2 linked regions of the Oreochromis niloticus genome follow. The protein of the gene in region 1 purifies or fractionates together with the protein of each later gene. This does not show direct contact. Links are inferred from orthologs where the notes say so. Each region holds a gene or a part of one and is shown on either strand. Other genes may lie near its edges.

Evidence for each region. Proteins that work in one complex are often made in the same cells at the same time.
Region 2: the proteins of lrrk2 (region 1) and bag5 purify together in Homo sapiens (co-immunoprecipitation; 3 studies listed by BioGRID and IntAct, with this or other methods). This does not show direct contact. The link is inferred for Oreochromis niloticus from reciprocal best matches to the Homo sapiens genes LRRK2 and BAG5.

Annotation. Positions count from the first base shown.
Region 1 is NC_031972.2:42,293,228-42,300,908, forward strand, and holds the start of lrrk2 (leucine-rich repeat serine/threonine-protein kinase 2), read right to left. Parts: upstream 3,016-7,681; 5' UTR 2,439-3,015; coding exon 2,303-2,438; intron 1,594-2,302; coding exon 1,508-1,593; intron 1,133-1,507; coding exon 1,023-1,132; intron 1-1,022. Other genes in the region: proton myo-inositol cotransporter, read left to right, coding at 6,737-6,786, 6,866-7,335, 7,538-7,681. UniProt on the Homo sapiens protein: Serine/threonine-protein kinase which phosphorylates a broad range of proteins involved in multiple processes such as neuronal plasticity, innate immunity, autophagy, and vesicle trafficking.
Region 2 is NC_031983.2:6,396,810-6,404,239, forward strand, and holds the start of bag5 (BAG family molecular chaperone regulator 5), read left to right. Parts: upstream 1-4,412; 5' UTR 4,413-4,427; coding exon 4,428-4,534; intron 4,535-5,095; coding exon of another isoform or gene 5,096-5,230; exon of another isoform or gene 5,231-5,434; intron 5,435-5,884; exon of another isoform or gene 5,885-6,635; coding exon of another isoform or gene 6,636-6,658; intron 6,659-6,885; exon of another isoform or gene 6,886-7,103; coding exon of another isoform or gene 7,104-7,135; intron 7,136-7,430. Other genes in the region: coa8 (cytochrome c oxidase assembly factor 8), read right to left, coding at 707-827, 1,261-1,351, 2,361-2,424, 3,860-4,057, 5,096-5,230. UniProt on the Homo sapiens protein: Co-chaperone for HSP/HSP70 proteins. It functions as a nucleotide-exchange factor promoting the release of ADP from HSP70, thereby activating HSP70-mediated protein refolding.

The DNA of each region.
Region 1 (7,681 bases):
ATGAAATTACACTCACAGGCCGTTAGTCCCCTTTTTGCCTTGAGATTTACCATGACTCGAATCTCCTATTCCACCACATCCCAGAGGAGTCCTACCAGGCTGAGAACTGGTGACTGTGGAGGTCATTTAAAGTTCAGCATAGGCATTGTTGTGTTCAAGAAACCAGATTGGGATGATTTGAGCTTATACATGGTGCACAGTTGTGTTAAAGATGATGGGCACACTGGTCATAAAAGGATGAACATGATCAGCAACCATACTCGGTTACGCTGTGGCATTACAACCATTTCGCCACTACCAGCCTGAACAGTTGCTACAAGGCAGGATGGATCCATGCATTCATGCAGTTTATCCCAAACTCTGACCCTCACATTTGAACGTCGCAGCAGAAATCAAGCCACATCACAGCAGGTAACGTTTTTCCAGTTTTCTGTCGTCCAATTTTGACAAGATTGTTTTAACTGTAGCATTAGTTTCCTGTTCTTGGTTGACAGGAGTGACACCCAGTGCAGTCTGCTGCCCCTGTAGCTGTTTCAGCGTTCAACATGTTGTGCATCTCTGCTGTGCATCTCAGAAGAACATTCAGAGATGCTCTACTGCATAACTTGATAGTGCCAAGTTGTTTTTGGAGTTACTGTTTGCCTTACTATAAAGTCTGACTACTGTCATCTGACCTTTGGTATAAACAAGGGGTTTTTGCCCAGAGAACTGCCGTTCACTGGACATTTTTTCTTTGAACCACTCCCTGTAAACCCTAGAGATTGTTCTGTGGGAAAAACCCAGCAGTTTATGAATTACTCAGCCCAGCCCATCTGGAACCAACAGCAACAACATGCAACATTCAAAGTCACTCCAATCACCTTTCCTTCCAATTTTAATGCTTGATTTGAACTTGAGCAGGTTGTCTTGACCACGGCTACATACTTCATGTACCTTCGTGTGGCATGAGCCATCATGATAGTCATTCATTTAAATGAGTGGTGCTGCATCAAGCCCACAGCTGCCAGAGAGTCTTCACTTACTGGTGCACTCCCTCTACCTCCCACTCTTGGGCTTCATCCAAAGGTCTGGTTAACTGGTCCAGTGTAGTGGGGCATATTTCAATCAGCTGACACAGCAATGACCAGCCAACCTGTAAAAAGGAAGAACAAACAATTTATTAAAATGACGGGAATGAGTCATTATAATAAACCAATGAAAAGTAATGATTCTGATCTCAAGCATACACATTACAGTACTGAGAAAGAGCGCCACAACCTGCTGCCATATATGAATCTTACAATCTCACTTTCAGTTTGCTTCAATATGCAGTCTTACCTCTGATAATTAGCATTACACGTCAGTCACAAGACATGCTAGATGTATAGGTGCGTCAGTCCACAGATGATTTGTCAACAACAAAGAGCTGAGGCTGTTTTAGCGAGTGATGCTGCTGAACACACCTCACCTCACCCAGATAGCACCACCTGCCATAATAATGGCTAATTCTTGTTGTGTCATTCATTACCTGCTGGACTCCTCTGCTGCTGATGTGGGTAGACAGAACCAGCACGAGGGGCACGTGGACATCTTTGTCTTCAAACAGTTCAGCTGCTACAACATGGAACAAGAGATAAGAAGACACGATGAGTCCCATTAGTTTTGAATAGAGTGACTGGGTCTTTTACCCTCATTCCTATTTTTAAATGTGCATAACAAGGCAGCATTACAGCAGGGCTTCATTGTGCAGGTACAAGTCTGTGCTTAAAATCTACAAATCTAAGTCAATCCCATTTTAAATTTGATTTCAGGTAACTTGAATGTGTTTTCACACCTAGTTTTAAGTAAACTATAATGGCCTTAGTATGACCCCAAAGACATTATGTTTTGTATTTAAGATAAGATATGCTTTATTTATCGCCAAAACTGGGAAATTACTCAAAACAGCTAAATCATTAACCTGCTGTATAACAAACCTTAAAGTAGACCATATGAACAAATAAATACAGCATCAATAGACTAGAAGATGGAAGGATGGAAGGGAAAAAATGCACAAAAGGATCAGAGTTAAAAAACAAACAAACAAACAAAAACCAAGAAGAGTGAATTACATTGTGGGCTGAAATAAATAAAACCATAAAAACGATCATGCAAAAGTAGTGAGTGTCATATCACATTTCACACTGGGCAAATACTACTTGATTGAATAAAAAAACTTTAATCTGACCTAATTCTCATAAGGCAATGAAAAAATGCCAAAAGGAAATGATGGCTGTTTATGAGCAGCGTGATGATGCACACGCTGAAACAATGTGCTTCCTACCATAGTCGGTGTGCGCCAGGAAAAGCAGATCCTGGATGATTTGAATCAGCGTGCACAGTTGCCTGTCTTCCTGGGGAGTTTTCAGCCTCACCAAAAGTTTTTTCAGCCTTTCTTCCAGCTCCTCTTTGTTAACCATGGTCTTTAAAGTGCGGTGTTCCAGCTGACGACTTGACGTGCATTGAGGTCAATCACTGCGCTCTCTCAGAACCGACAACGGCCTTCGAGCGGCCACACTGAGCGCAGCATTAGCGTATAAATAACTCACTGAAAATCCACTGTAGTTACTCATGTCTTTACAAAACATTACTGAATTGCTGTGTTGCATAATAATACAGTAGCTACAGACAGCTATAAGTGGCTGTCGCTACAAGGGAAGCGGTCAGTGTCGCGGAGTTTCGGTTCCGACATCACAGTCCTCGGCTAACTTTCCTGTGGCAGAGAATAAGTTCCTCTTTGCGGAGTCGGTGATTTTATGTTGCTTGGATGTGAAAACGAAGCGAGTCCTCTCTGAAAGGCGTGTTCCTGCTTTCCTACGATCGCATCATATGACTGCAGGCAGTAAAAACTCCCCGCTTACAGAAGAGGAAGCTGAAAATAGAGTCAGAGAGAATCCGACTTTCTCTCTGGCAGGGGAAGCAAGTCAGACAGAGAGCCAAGTCAAGCGGCTATTACGTTACCCCCCAACGGTTTTTTTGTTGTTTGTTTTTTTGTTTTTTACTTCAGGCTACACTTTTACAGGCTAACGAGTGGCTTCAGTGAGCCCTCCCACTCTGCGTCTAATGCCAGTTGCTGATTTACAGATTTACAACAATGCAGCTTGACCTGGCACTGACATTTGCTGTGTATGATGGAGGAAAATTCCCACACTAAAGCAAACTCTAAAATATTTTTTAATTATTTCAGTTAGTCTCTAAATTAGGTGTCCTCCCAAAGTAATCACCCCTGTATAGTAGGGGTGAGCGGATCGATACCAAAGCTTGTATTGGTATTGAATCGATAATAGGTAATATGATCGATACTTTGTTTTTTTTAATGCTGTGTTCCTGAATAAGTCGGAAGTTCCGAATTCCCGGTGAGAAATATTTTGTGGAATGCCCCCTCAACTCAAAAATCCCACCACACCAGCAGCTCCACATAGAATTAACATAACTAGGTGGCATCACTGAATGTAAACAACAGTAAAACTGTATACTTTTAATCTGTACTGCCACTGTTGTCTAGTTGTGACACAATAAAGTCATAGTGGAGAAATTCCTACATGCATCGCTGTTTGCAGTGTTTTCATTTACAGCTATAAATATCTCGACACCAGGTGCACCTAAGTCATGTGACTCCACAGCAACAAACCACAGGGAGGAGGTGAGGGTGGAGCAAAGTGTGGCTGCCTGAAAGGACCGGTGTTTGCACAGACGTTAATACTTTTTCATGAAGCAGGAGCAATATCAATGCTGGGATCAGTACTTTCAATATTTGCATCAATGCACCCATCCCCACTTGTTAGAGTTACACTGTATTGCTGTTTTTTTGCAATATGATTTGGCTTCCAAAGTAAAAGCTTTTTCAGTGTTGCTTTGTACCTAATGTGGAAAATTGGAAACAATTTGGTCAGAATATGTTAGCATCCGCTTGGCTTGCTGCCTATAAGTTGGAGTTTTTCCTGGTGGATGAGAGGGTTTGTTCCCTGGACCTTTGAGTTGGAGAATGGGTCCTGGCTGTCGTCTGCGCCCGTGCACCAAACGAAGGTTCAGAGTACCCGGCCTTCTTGGAGTCCCTAGGTGGTGTGCCTGGGGGTGCTCCACCTGGGGACTCTGTCGTCTTACTGGGAGACTTCAACGCTCATGTGGGCAACAACAGTGAGACCCGGAGGCGCGTGATTGGGAGGAACGGCCTGCCAGATGTGAACCAGAGTGATGTTCTATTACTAGACTTCTGTGCAAACCAGAAATTGTCGATAACAAAGACCATGTTCAAACATAAGGGTGTCTATAATTGCACATGGCAATAAGAGACCCTAGGCTGCAGGTTGATGATCAATTTTGTAATTGTATCATCAGACCTGTGGCCCTATGTTCTGGACACTTGTGTGAAGGGTGGACCTTTTTCTCCCACAGAGAGGAAAGTAAATGAGTGTGAGGCTAAAACAAGAAATCATTGACAAAACTATGTTGTTTAAGTTATATAACACAAGTACAAACTATGTTATAGTCTAGGTACGTCCAGTATCCCTGGAAGCTGTGGTTCAGGTCCAGCTGTTCCCTGGCAAGGAGAGCACCATCTGATTTGAGGATTGGATGAGAGTCGGTGAGCACAGAATATCAGCTTGACATCGTGGTCATATCTTATTTTTCCTGTATTTAGCATTGGGTACAACCCCACGGCTCATTTTTAAAAATGTCTGCAGATAAAAGAAACGTCATCGATCACAGGAGGAAGACTGAAAGTTAGACTGTACTTTTTCTTGTAATTTTAGTGTAGGGGATGAACCAGTGATATGCCTAAATATCTTCACTTTTCAGCAGTTTTTTTTTTTTATCATTCAAAACTATTCTGAAAGACTACTTAAATAAAGAAAGAAGGAAGAGAAACTTCTAAATCTATTTCTAATCCTCATGCATCCATTGTTGGCACCTTCGTCGGTACTCATGACTTCACTTTTCCCAGAAATCTTTTACCTCCACCTTAATTATGCCCCCCCCCCCCAAGATTCAAACTGTAATTGTGCGACTGATATCACCAGAGTTGTCTCTGGTTTACTTGCCCCCCCCCCCAAAAGAAAACAAACAAACAAAAAAAACAAAAAACATTTGTATTCCCACACCTTTCTATCAGAACATGCATGAATTGTTGAATCGGACCACACAGACCATTCTTTGCTCCCCATGTGTAGGCTATCAGTGAGCCTTGAGGGCTCATGACCTTGTTGCTGATTTAACACTGCTCCTAAACAGTTTAGTATTGGAGATGCTCTGACTCAGTTGTTTAGCCTTCACAAATATATCCCACCCACTAACACATAATCAGTGTTATTCACGTGACCACTGGGCATTCATGTTATGCTATTGTTGATGTATGTTATATTTTTTGTATTCGGTCACTTGTTGTTTAGAGATTGTAGTCCTGAAATTTTATTGTAGGACTCAAGACTGCTTAGTGTGTTTTAAAGTATACATTAGACCACGATTTGGATGGGTTTTGCTTTTTGCACAATTTATATGTAGGAAAGCCCGGTGGAAAACGTGTCTTTATCTGTCAAGTGTCTGTTTGTTCTCTAAAGTAATAGTTAATATTTACCTCCGCGAAACGTATCCATCTAAATCTGCCCAAACTTACTAATAGCGCATAATAAAGTGCTCACAGTTAAAATCTTTGCCATGTTTTGTGGCCAGTGCAAATTCTTGCTGTCTTGGCTCATTAATCACGACTACCATAAAAAGAACCAGTTGGGCTACATTTTACAGTTCAAATGGGCGTGTTTACGTTTTTTTTTTCAGGGATAATATCATATGATCCACATAACAGACTTCCTGTTTGTTGAAGAGCATATCGACAGCAGCACTGTGCGCTGGAGGAAAGCAGCTTTTTTACAGGTATGGTAGAGTTTTTTCACAGATAGTTAAGGTGACCTGACAGGCTAAAGTCCAATAATGCGACTTATTTGACTTTACTGCAAACAGATAACTTATGGGGACGAGGGGCATAAGGGTCACTTACCATTCCGTACTTTTAGCATTATACGAATAAATGAAGTAGAAGTTACATTCGGAAATACACATGAAAGTAATGAAAAATAGATGAATGAAAAATATATACATGGGGAAAAAAGTAATCTGAATGAAAATTGTTCGCTCACATCTCTGCCGAATTTTCGAGTAGACAATACATGTGCTGTCAACTCTGGTTTTACGTGCACAACAGTCTCCGCTGAGCACAAATTCGTTAAAAATGACATTTTGGATGGAGTTTGGCACGGTGCTGTAGGGACATTGTAAACACTCAGTTTGAAAAAAAGAAACAACATTGTTTTTGTAGCCGGGTGGGCACGTGACCTCACGCACAAACATGGCTGCACGCAGAGCAAAGCAGTAGCGCTGTCAGTGGTGAACAAAAACATCTAAAGTCTGTTTAAAGTCATCAACCTACACTGTTTAGGCAGCTTTCCCACGGCGCGACTCCGAAATCTGCGACACAAGCAGAATCTGGCGCTCGGTTAACCACAGGAGTTTGTCACGAAATGTTGTCGTCATCAAAGTTAGCTAGTATAGCTGCTAAAATCACGACGTGTTGCTTTCTCGAGCTGGACACCTAAAAACACCCCCAGGTTTGGACTTTAACTTAGAGGTTAACGGAAAGTGTGGCACTGAAAATATTGCTATTTTTTTGTTGGGGGGAAAACGACAACAACAACAAAATGATTATTTTTTGTAATCTGTATTAATGGGAAATGACTGCATCCATGTACACGTCACCGCCACTTCCTCACAGAAGTATGTCACCTGGCTTATTTAATAAAGTGGTGACCTGCAACCCCTGGTGAGCTTAACCTCTGGTTTCTCCTATGTCCAGCAGCTATGATGAGTACAGCTTGGAGCACATGAGCAACCTTATGGCCAGCAGGAGACAGAAAGCCGGGGACGATGGAGAGCGGAGTCTCATAGGACCTCCATCTAGGCATGTGGATGAGAATCTCCTAGACCAGGATGCCCCCAAGCCGCTTTTTGTCTATTTGTTGGCATTTTTCTCTGCCTTGGGGGGATTCCTCTTTGGGTATGACACTGGAGTGGTTTCTGGAGCCATGATTCTCCTAAAGAAGGAAATGAACCTGAATGCTCTGTGGCAGGAGCTGCTGGTTTCCAGTACTGTGGGAGCTGCAGCGCTTTCTGCCCTGAGTGGAGGCTACCTGAACGGGTGGCTGGGGCGCAGGATCTGTATCCTTGTGGCCAGCTTTATCTTCACTGTCGGTGGCATCATCTTGAGTCTTGCCCCAGACAAGGTGGTCCTCCTTGTTGGCAGAATTACAGTTGGTTTGGGCATAGGTGAGTTGTTTTATTTAACACTACAGCTTGTATCGAGGTAAAGTCACCATTATGATTTTGCTTCTTATAAGGAGCCCTTTGTTTGACTTTCATTATTCAATATTTGCCGTATTCAAACACAGAGCTAGGATGTAATATGAATTGTCTGTGGGAATGCATCTGTTGTACATTAGCATGAAACTGTTCCCCTCCTTGCCTTTAGGCATTGCTTCCATGACTGTTCCTGTGTACATCGCAGAAGTTTCCCCTCCTCACCTGCGAGGTCAGCTGGTCACCATCAATTCCCTCTTTATCACTGGTGGCCAGTTCATTGCCAGTGTGGTTGATGGGGCTTTCAGCTACCTGA
Region 2 (7,430 bases), on another chromosome or scaffold:
TACATTCCAGCTCTCAAAAAATATTTACACCAAATGATTAATCTGGAAAATAACTATCCATCCATCTTCTGTTTAGGGGTTGCAGGAGGCTGGAGCCTTTCCCAGCTATCATAGGGCGAAAGGCGGGGTACATCCTGGATGGGTAGCTTGTCTGTCCCAGGTCTTATACAGAGACAGATAACCATTTACACTCACATTCACGCCTATGGGCCTTTTAGAATCCCCAGTTAAACATGATTTCAGTTTGTTCTTTGCTTGATTTAAAAAATGAAATAATTAGTTTTAATATGTTTTTGACAAAGTTCTTAAACTTTAATTTCTTGTATTTATTGTAGGTGGTCAGCACCGATCTCACTGGTTATCACAGGTTGTCTTTGTTTTGACACAAACTGGGCGTAACAGTTAAATCTGCTTTATAATGTATCTATAATCCCCGCCCCAAGAAAAAACCAAAAACCCTCTTGACCAAAGAGACCGTGACATAACAATCCACACTTTTAACTATTAAAAAAAGATGAAAACTATTAATTAATTAATTAAAAAGAAATACCTCACATGTTTTGCTTTGTTTTATTTTTTCCAGAATAATTTACAGTCATTTGCAGAGCCTGAATAAACATGAAGCAGTAACAGAAGTGCACAAAAATATAGCCAAGGCATTTGATATTTTGACAGGAGGGTGGGGGTGTGTGTATTTTCTTTGCTATCAGCTGGTAGGAGTGCCGTTTTTCTTGCTGCTCTGTCTTTCCGTAACTGTCCTCCACATACTGTTTAGGGTGACTCGAGCCATGAGCAAGGTGATGGTAAAGTTACGTCTGTACCATTCCCTGGATACACAAAAAACAGAATGTTTCACTTTGCACAGTGTAATAAATGTGCTGATATAAAGATTCAAACAGGGAAATGCACAATAACACCAGAAGGGAGAAAAGGGAAACATTTGTGCTTTGACGGAGTTTAAATTGAAACAATAATAAATATAACAATCAAAAGTTAGAGATTAAATCCCACGCATGCTACTGAGGTGATGTGTGTGGGCGGAAAGCTTTGCCAACATGAAGACAAGTCAGCCACTTTGCATTGCTAATTCACACAAAACTTCTTCATAGCCTGTGAGGTTTGTTGTTCTTTGCAGATGAGGTGATACAGTGCAGTTAAAGCTCACAGCTGCTGCAGAGGGACATGTACCAACCCAACCACCCACCCACCCACCCACTCACTTACCCACCCAGCGGCATCATGGGAGACAAAACAACTCACTTGTTGTAATTTGCATGTCGTACTCTGTTTTTGTCCAGGAAGTTTTTGTAAAACGTGGCCATCTCTTCGCTGCTCAGGGACCGCCGTCGTCCTGAGGGAAGACACAGCAGACTGTGTTATATTCTCATTAGGATACATCTCCCCTGCAATTCACCAGCTGTTAGAAAAACAAACTGCTGTTTACTGTGCCTCCTGAGGAGCAGGCTACGAAGCAAGTTCGACAAAGCCAGGGTTTCTTTGTGTTGGCTGACTTGACCAAAAAACCTCAGTCAGAGATAGCAGGCATCACAACAGTGGTTATTAACTCTCTCTGGTAACCCCGGCTTTCTGTGCTCACATAAAAAGGGCTGTTTGATGTGTTTTTTGACACTTCAGACAGCACAGAATGGATCAGCTGAGCACCACCTACCCCAATCAGAGACATTATCACATGAATGGGGGATAGAGATCTATTAAGAATGTTAAATAAATGCAGTAAAATGCAACCCTGGTGCTGAAAGTACGAGTAATGCTGCAGAAAATTGTTAATTTAGTGATTTGATCATCACAAGAGCTGAGAGCTTAGCTTCAATGTTTATCTCTGATGTCAGAGCCACACATCGGTGCTCTCGCTGTGTTCAGCTCTGACAAGTCACCCACAGCCTACACAGCCTAACAAAGGAGACGTGGGAATTACTTTCGTTTCTCACAAGATCAGAGTGAAAATCATTTATTGTCCAAATAAGTTTTCTTGGTGATAAAAATCAAATAAATCTAATGATAAACTGCAGTCTTAAGCTCTACAGACTGCAAATATATGTATTCATCCAGCAGAGAATCAATATTGTGTTTACAAGACACTGTAACTAAAAGAATTTGTGAAAACTTTAAATCGAAACTCTAAAAATAAACTGGTACAAACCAGGTTATGTGTTCAGCATAAGTTACCATGGTGATCTAGCCAGGTATAAAGGAGCCACCTTCACTTACATCAAGGTCGACTTACATCACTCACCCAGTAATCTTGCTTCATAGTACACCCATCTGAGCTGGTTAAAAACTGCCTAAGTGCAAACCCAACCAACAATGTGAAATATTCAGAAAAGGCTGCATGTCCTCACCGTCCTCATCACGCAGAGTCAAGCCTTTTGCCTTCAGTTGTGAAATGATAAAAGCTTCTTTTTCCTGCAGACAGTGTAAAAAAAACAAACAACAAACAAACCTTTTAAGCTTTAACTGTAATTTTAAATGAGGTCATTCTTAAAATTAATTAAAGGGTCGTTAAATCAGATTTGGACTGGGGTCCACATAAAACCTACAGTTTTCCTCACTGTTTCCTCACTGTAATCTCTTACATAGCTGGGCCCTAACAGAACACATTAGTTGTACAATGCTCCCCTCTACTGGTGAAATGATTTTACACACGTACGAGCTCAGCACGCAGAGATTAATTACATCCACTGCTATTACAGTCTCCATTAATAATGATGGAAATGACAGCATGATGCTAATGCAAGTAGGAAGCTGGCAGGGAAGATAATGCAGTTAGTGGACTTTATCTTGTGTTTAATTTAATTTCCATTTTATTTTTAAGAAAAGTGAACTAACAAGCCGACAGGGATCGCTCACCCGGTTTTGTTTTGTAACAGCTACAGATGAATTTTCTTCTAATATCAGTTTGCTTAATTGGATTTTAAGCGGCAGTACGGCATACCTGCATATGAAATAAATAGCAGCAGTAGCAGGACAATGTGAATCATCATAAATAAATATTAAACTGTAATAAATTGGAAGACATCATCTTGATATTCTCAGGACAACATCACAAACAAATTCTTCTGGATGCACACTTTCACTTCATCCCTCATGTGCAATTTAGGAATTTAATTTAGGAGTAACCTTCAGTTTCTCTACAAAGACTAAAGACTCCACTTCCTCTGTAGCTAAAGGTTTTCTTGGAGCACATCAACTTCCCACTCTTATTCATACTCTGAAATCACCTGCCCCACAATGAACCAACAACCGCTTCTATGCCTGCTTTACACCACCCACCACCTTTCAGCTTATTTTCAGAAGGGCAGAACAGCCAGCAAAGTCTTAACTGATGATCTAACTAGCCTTAAATGAGTTTTATTCTCTTCCAAACTGCATGTCAGGTGCTCAGATGACTTAAAAGAACCAATTTTACCACAACTTTCTATTTTTCTATGAAAATATCGACATCTCAGGAGGGATGTCGACTCACTCCTCTTTACAGAAACTGCAGCTTGGCAACTCAAGGGTAAAGCTTGAGTGTTTTGTTTTTGGGATTTGGGGATATTCTGTCTCCATAAAATGAAGCTACCATAAAACGTGAGAAAACGTATAAATAAAGCAGGGGATCGAATTAATTTCCCCACTGTATCTTTGTCAGTTTCCATCTCAAGAGTTAAAAGCAGCACTATGCATGCTTCTCTCTCTCTCTACACTGTGCTCCCTATTTTTAGACAATACCCACCTTACTCTCCACATGGACTGGCTTTTCACCCCACCTACAAATGAGACTTCTGATAGATAAACTAGCTTTCAGAGGCCAGTCCCTGACCCCAGAAAAACACTTTGTAAAAAGTATTTCAGTAACCTTGCTGAAGGTGATGTTCTGCTTGGCCCAGAAGTTGTGGTTCCAGTCCTCTGTCTCCTGCCTCAGGTTTCTCAGTCGTTTCTCCAGCTCTGTTTCATTGTCCGGGATGTGGTAAATAATTGGCCGTAGGTTGGAGAGCGGGTTTGGTGGACCGACCCAGTCATGTGTGGAGCTGGGTTCTGGTCTATATGTAGATCTCTATGTAAAAGAAGAAGAAGAAACTACTGTAATGATGGGTTCAGACAGCACAGTGTCCGCACAAAAATAACTTAGTGGGAAAGATACAGGGTGTTAACACAAAAGTTGAGCGTGGAATTGCAGGTGACAACAGTCAGAAGGCTGAAGATGTCCCAAATTTCACCTATGCAAACCCCATATGACAGCGATGAGCTCATCAGACACAAATACCATGTAGTTTGAATTCCACATGCAAAGTTAGCATCACCAACGCAGCCACATCCGCACTGATGAGAAATGCACCGGGCAGCTATCATCTGGAAGTCAAGTTTAAAGACAGTCTGCTAAAGACTGAAACTCCACACAGCAGATGCACATCACGTGGCTTTAAATGAAAAGTGACCTACACCAGACAGCTTATCATTACCCAGCAGACTTCAAGACGGAAAGAGCAGCGAGGAATAAAAAACGCTCCAGGGCTAAGAGACGAAAACAGAGGTAAAACAATCCAAATGCAAAACATTGTGTCAGCAAATTCAGTCTGATTACTGACAGGCATATCAATGCACGTTTATATGTAAAGTAGATGTATTTACATTTTTAAAGAAATACTATATTATTAAACAGTTATTATTAAACGTCTGCAGTCACAAACTCCAACAAATGCATGTAATTTTGAAACGGTTAAAAAATGAAATCTAAGAAGATGTATTGCTGGAAACTTTAGGTCTTAAAATATAACTTTAAACCATAATATTTTAAATTGTTCTCCATTATTTTCCTACAAATATTTATACTACAACTGTATCATTAAAACAGACGTAACACCGATTTAACCCTAATAATGTCTAAAGCACTGCAATATATTTTTGTGAACAACACTTTATTTCCTGCAACGTTTAAAAAAAAAAATCAGCTTATTTCGTACACACGTCTTTAATGTGGGCATAAAAAAATGGCGCCACACGTGATCGTCAACAACAACAACAGCCGTCTATAGCTATCAAATGGCAGCCCTTTAAACCGTGTATAAATGTAATAAATTGTCATTATACAAACCTTTACTGGCTTGTCCTTCTGGGTTGCCTGTTTGGAGCTGCACAGCCGACTGCTACCTGCAGATAAGCGGAGACTGAAAGGACAGAAGCTCCTCCATATCGACCGTCTCGCAGCTGCAGCTGTCCTGGCGGCCATTTTTAGTAACCGACTAAAAACGGCGACTTAAATAAAACAAATCACGCTAAAAACCATTAAACAGCACAGGACTGAGCTCGAGGACACAACCAAACTTTCACTAAGCTCGTGCCCTTCTGTGTGCGCTGGCTGCCATTTGGTCACGTGAGCCCAACAAGGCGCATGGATGCGCTCGGCAATCTCACCGGTAAATCCCGGATTCACTTAAAAACGACAACAGAAAACATTTCGCAATGAAGGGTCGAAAGGTTTCTTGTCAGTTAAGGATATTCTTTAAATGTAAGACTACAGAAAGAGCATAAACACAAATGTGGGGAATAAATATATGTCTATGTTGTCTATTTGTTTATTTATTTAAGCTTAAGTCACATTTGTTTCCTCATTAAAAAATAAACGAAATGAAAAAAACTGGCTGTAGGATTAAAAGAAAAAAAACAAACAGATGTCAACCAAATTAGATGTTAGGAATATATAAATCCAGTCACCATGGAGCCAAAATCCCCACTCTATTTATTTTTCCTTAGCTGCAGCCCTTCCTATGTATTTTTATTGTTATTATTATTGTTATTGTTATTATTATTATTTTGTTGTTTACTACTTCTAATGCTATATTTCTAATACTGTATTTATAGACTATATTTCTTCTAATAATTATATTTCAGTGGTAAATGTTGCATTTTTACAGCAGAGTCAGGTGTAGAGGGGAGCTGAGCTGAGGATAACAGGCTGAGGAGGAGGAGGAGGTTTGCCTGGGTCCTGCTTGGAGCAGACGAAGTTGAGCAGGGCTAAACGTAGCTTGATAAATATCATTATTGTCTAATTAAACTTGAACACCACATGGATTATCTGTATAGGTTTCGGTATTAGTACTTTTGCTCTCACAAAGTATCTGAATGCCTATTCCGTTCGGTTATTGAATTGTTGGAGATGCTAGATTGTTAGATTTTTTTTTACTACATAATAAATAATGCTCGTCAATCTTTTTTGTTAACTAAGTTAAATAGACTAAAGTAAAAGTTAAACAGTAGCAAAGCCAGGGTTTATCTTAGCACCGGTAAACGACACGGAGTCACGACCAAATGAAGCGCGCCTATTGTTGGCCGACCAAAATTTGCACAAGGTTAAAAATAATAAAGCTGTTCATCCGAATATTAACACGATTATGCGATTTATTTTACATTTGTATATACGTGTCGTGCGATAACTAAACATCGACTTGTATTTCTTATTTGTTAACATCAATAAAACACTGATGTAATGGCGTCTCTTTAATATTAGCAAGGAAACACAAACTCCGTGTTAGTTCATATCCTCACGAACTGTAAAGTAAGTACTCGAAGGTAGCTAGGTAGGCTAATGTTTAGCTTTAGTCACAGGAGGTGCGCACTTTTCCGCAACAGTTCCGATGGCTGTACGCTGGCTATGCAGGTAAGAGCGAAACTGTTAAAGAGAGGTGGCGGTGTTGATGTATTCACACTGAAAAGCCAGAGTTATTTGGCTGAGGTGTGGCTGTGTCAGGTGATCATCAGTAGCTAGCTTAACACACTAACAATGGTATTCACAGAGGAGTGTCTGCTGTAAACCGGTTTTTGTAATGGCTGTTTCCATTTAAGCGTTTCATGAGTCCTTGGTAGCATATTTATTTTTAAATTAAGTTGTTTTAAAGGGCAGCGGAGGAAGAAATCTGGTGGTAGAGGCTGTGGGAGGGGCGACAGCAGCCCGACCGCAGTCAGTCAGTCACAGTCAGTCGCTGGATACTGAAGCTGACCGCAGGAGAATCGAGATCTTCCGGATTTCGGCTTTATCCCTTTGGATGCCTCTTTCCTGCACGAGCCGCCCAGCATTTGGCTGATGGAAACAGACATCCGTGAAAATGTGCGCGAATGTGTTCGGGGTTTTGAAAAGGTGAGAGGAATGCTGCTGCTGTGTGTGTGTATGTATCTATCTGTGTGTGTATGTGTGCGTGTGTGCACGAGAGAGAAAGGATGCAGCTGACAGTATCTGGAGATGCTTTGAGCCGTTTTGTCGAGATCTGGAGGTGTGGTATCTGTGCTTCTTGTAGCGCAGCTCCGGCAACATACATGGGCTCTCAGAGGTAGATGCGTTCGCACGCAGGCGGCGGGACGGGATTTTCTGCGGTGACATAATGCGCAAAGCCGTGCAGGAGGACCGGCAAGCATGCAGGCAGCCGGGGATGGAG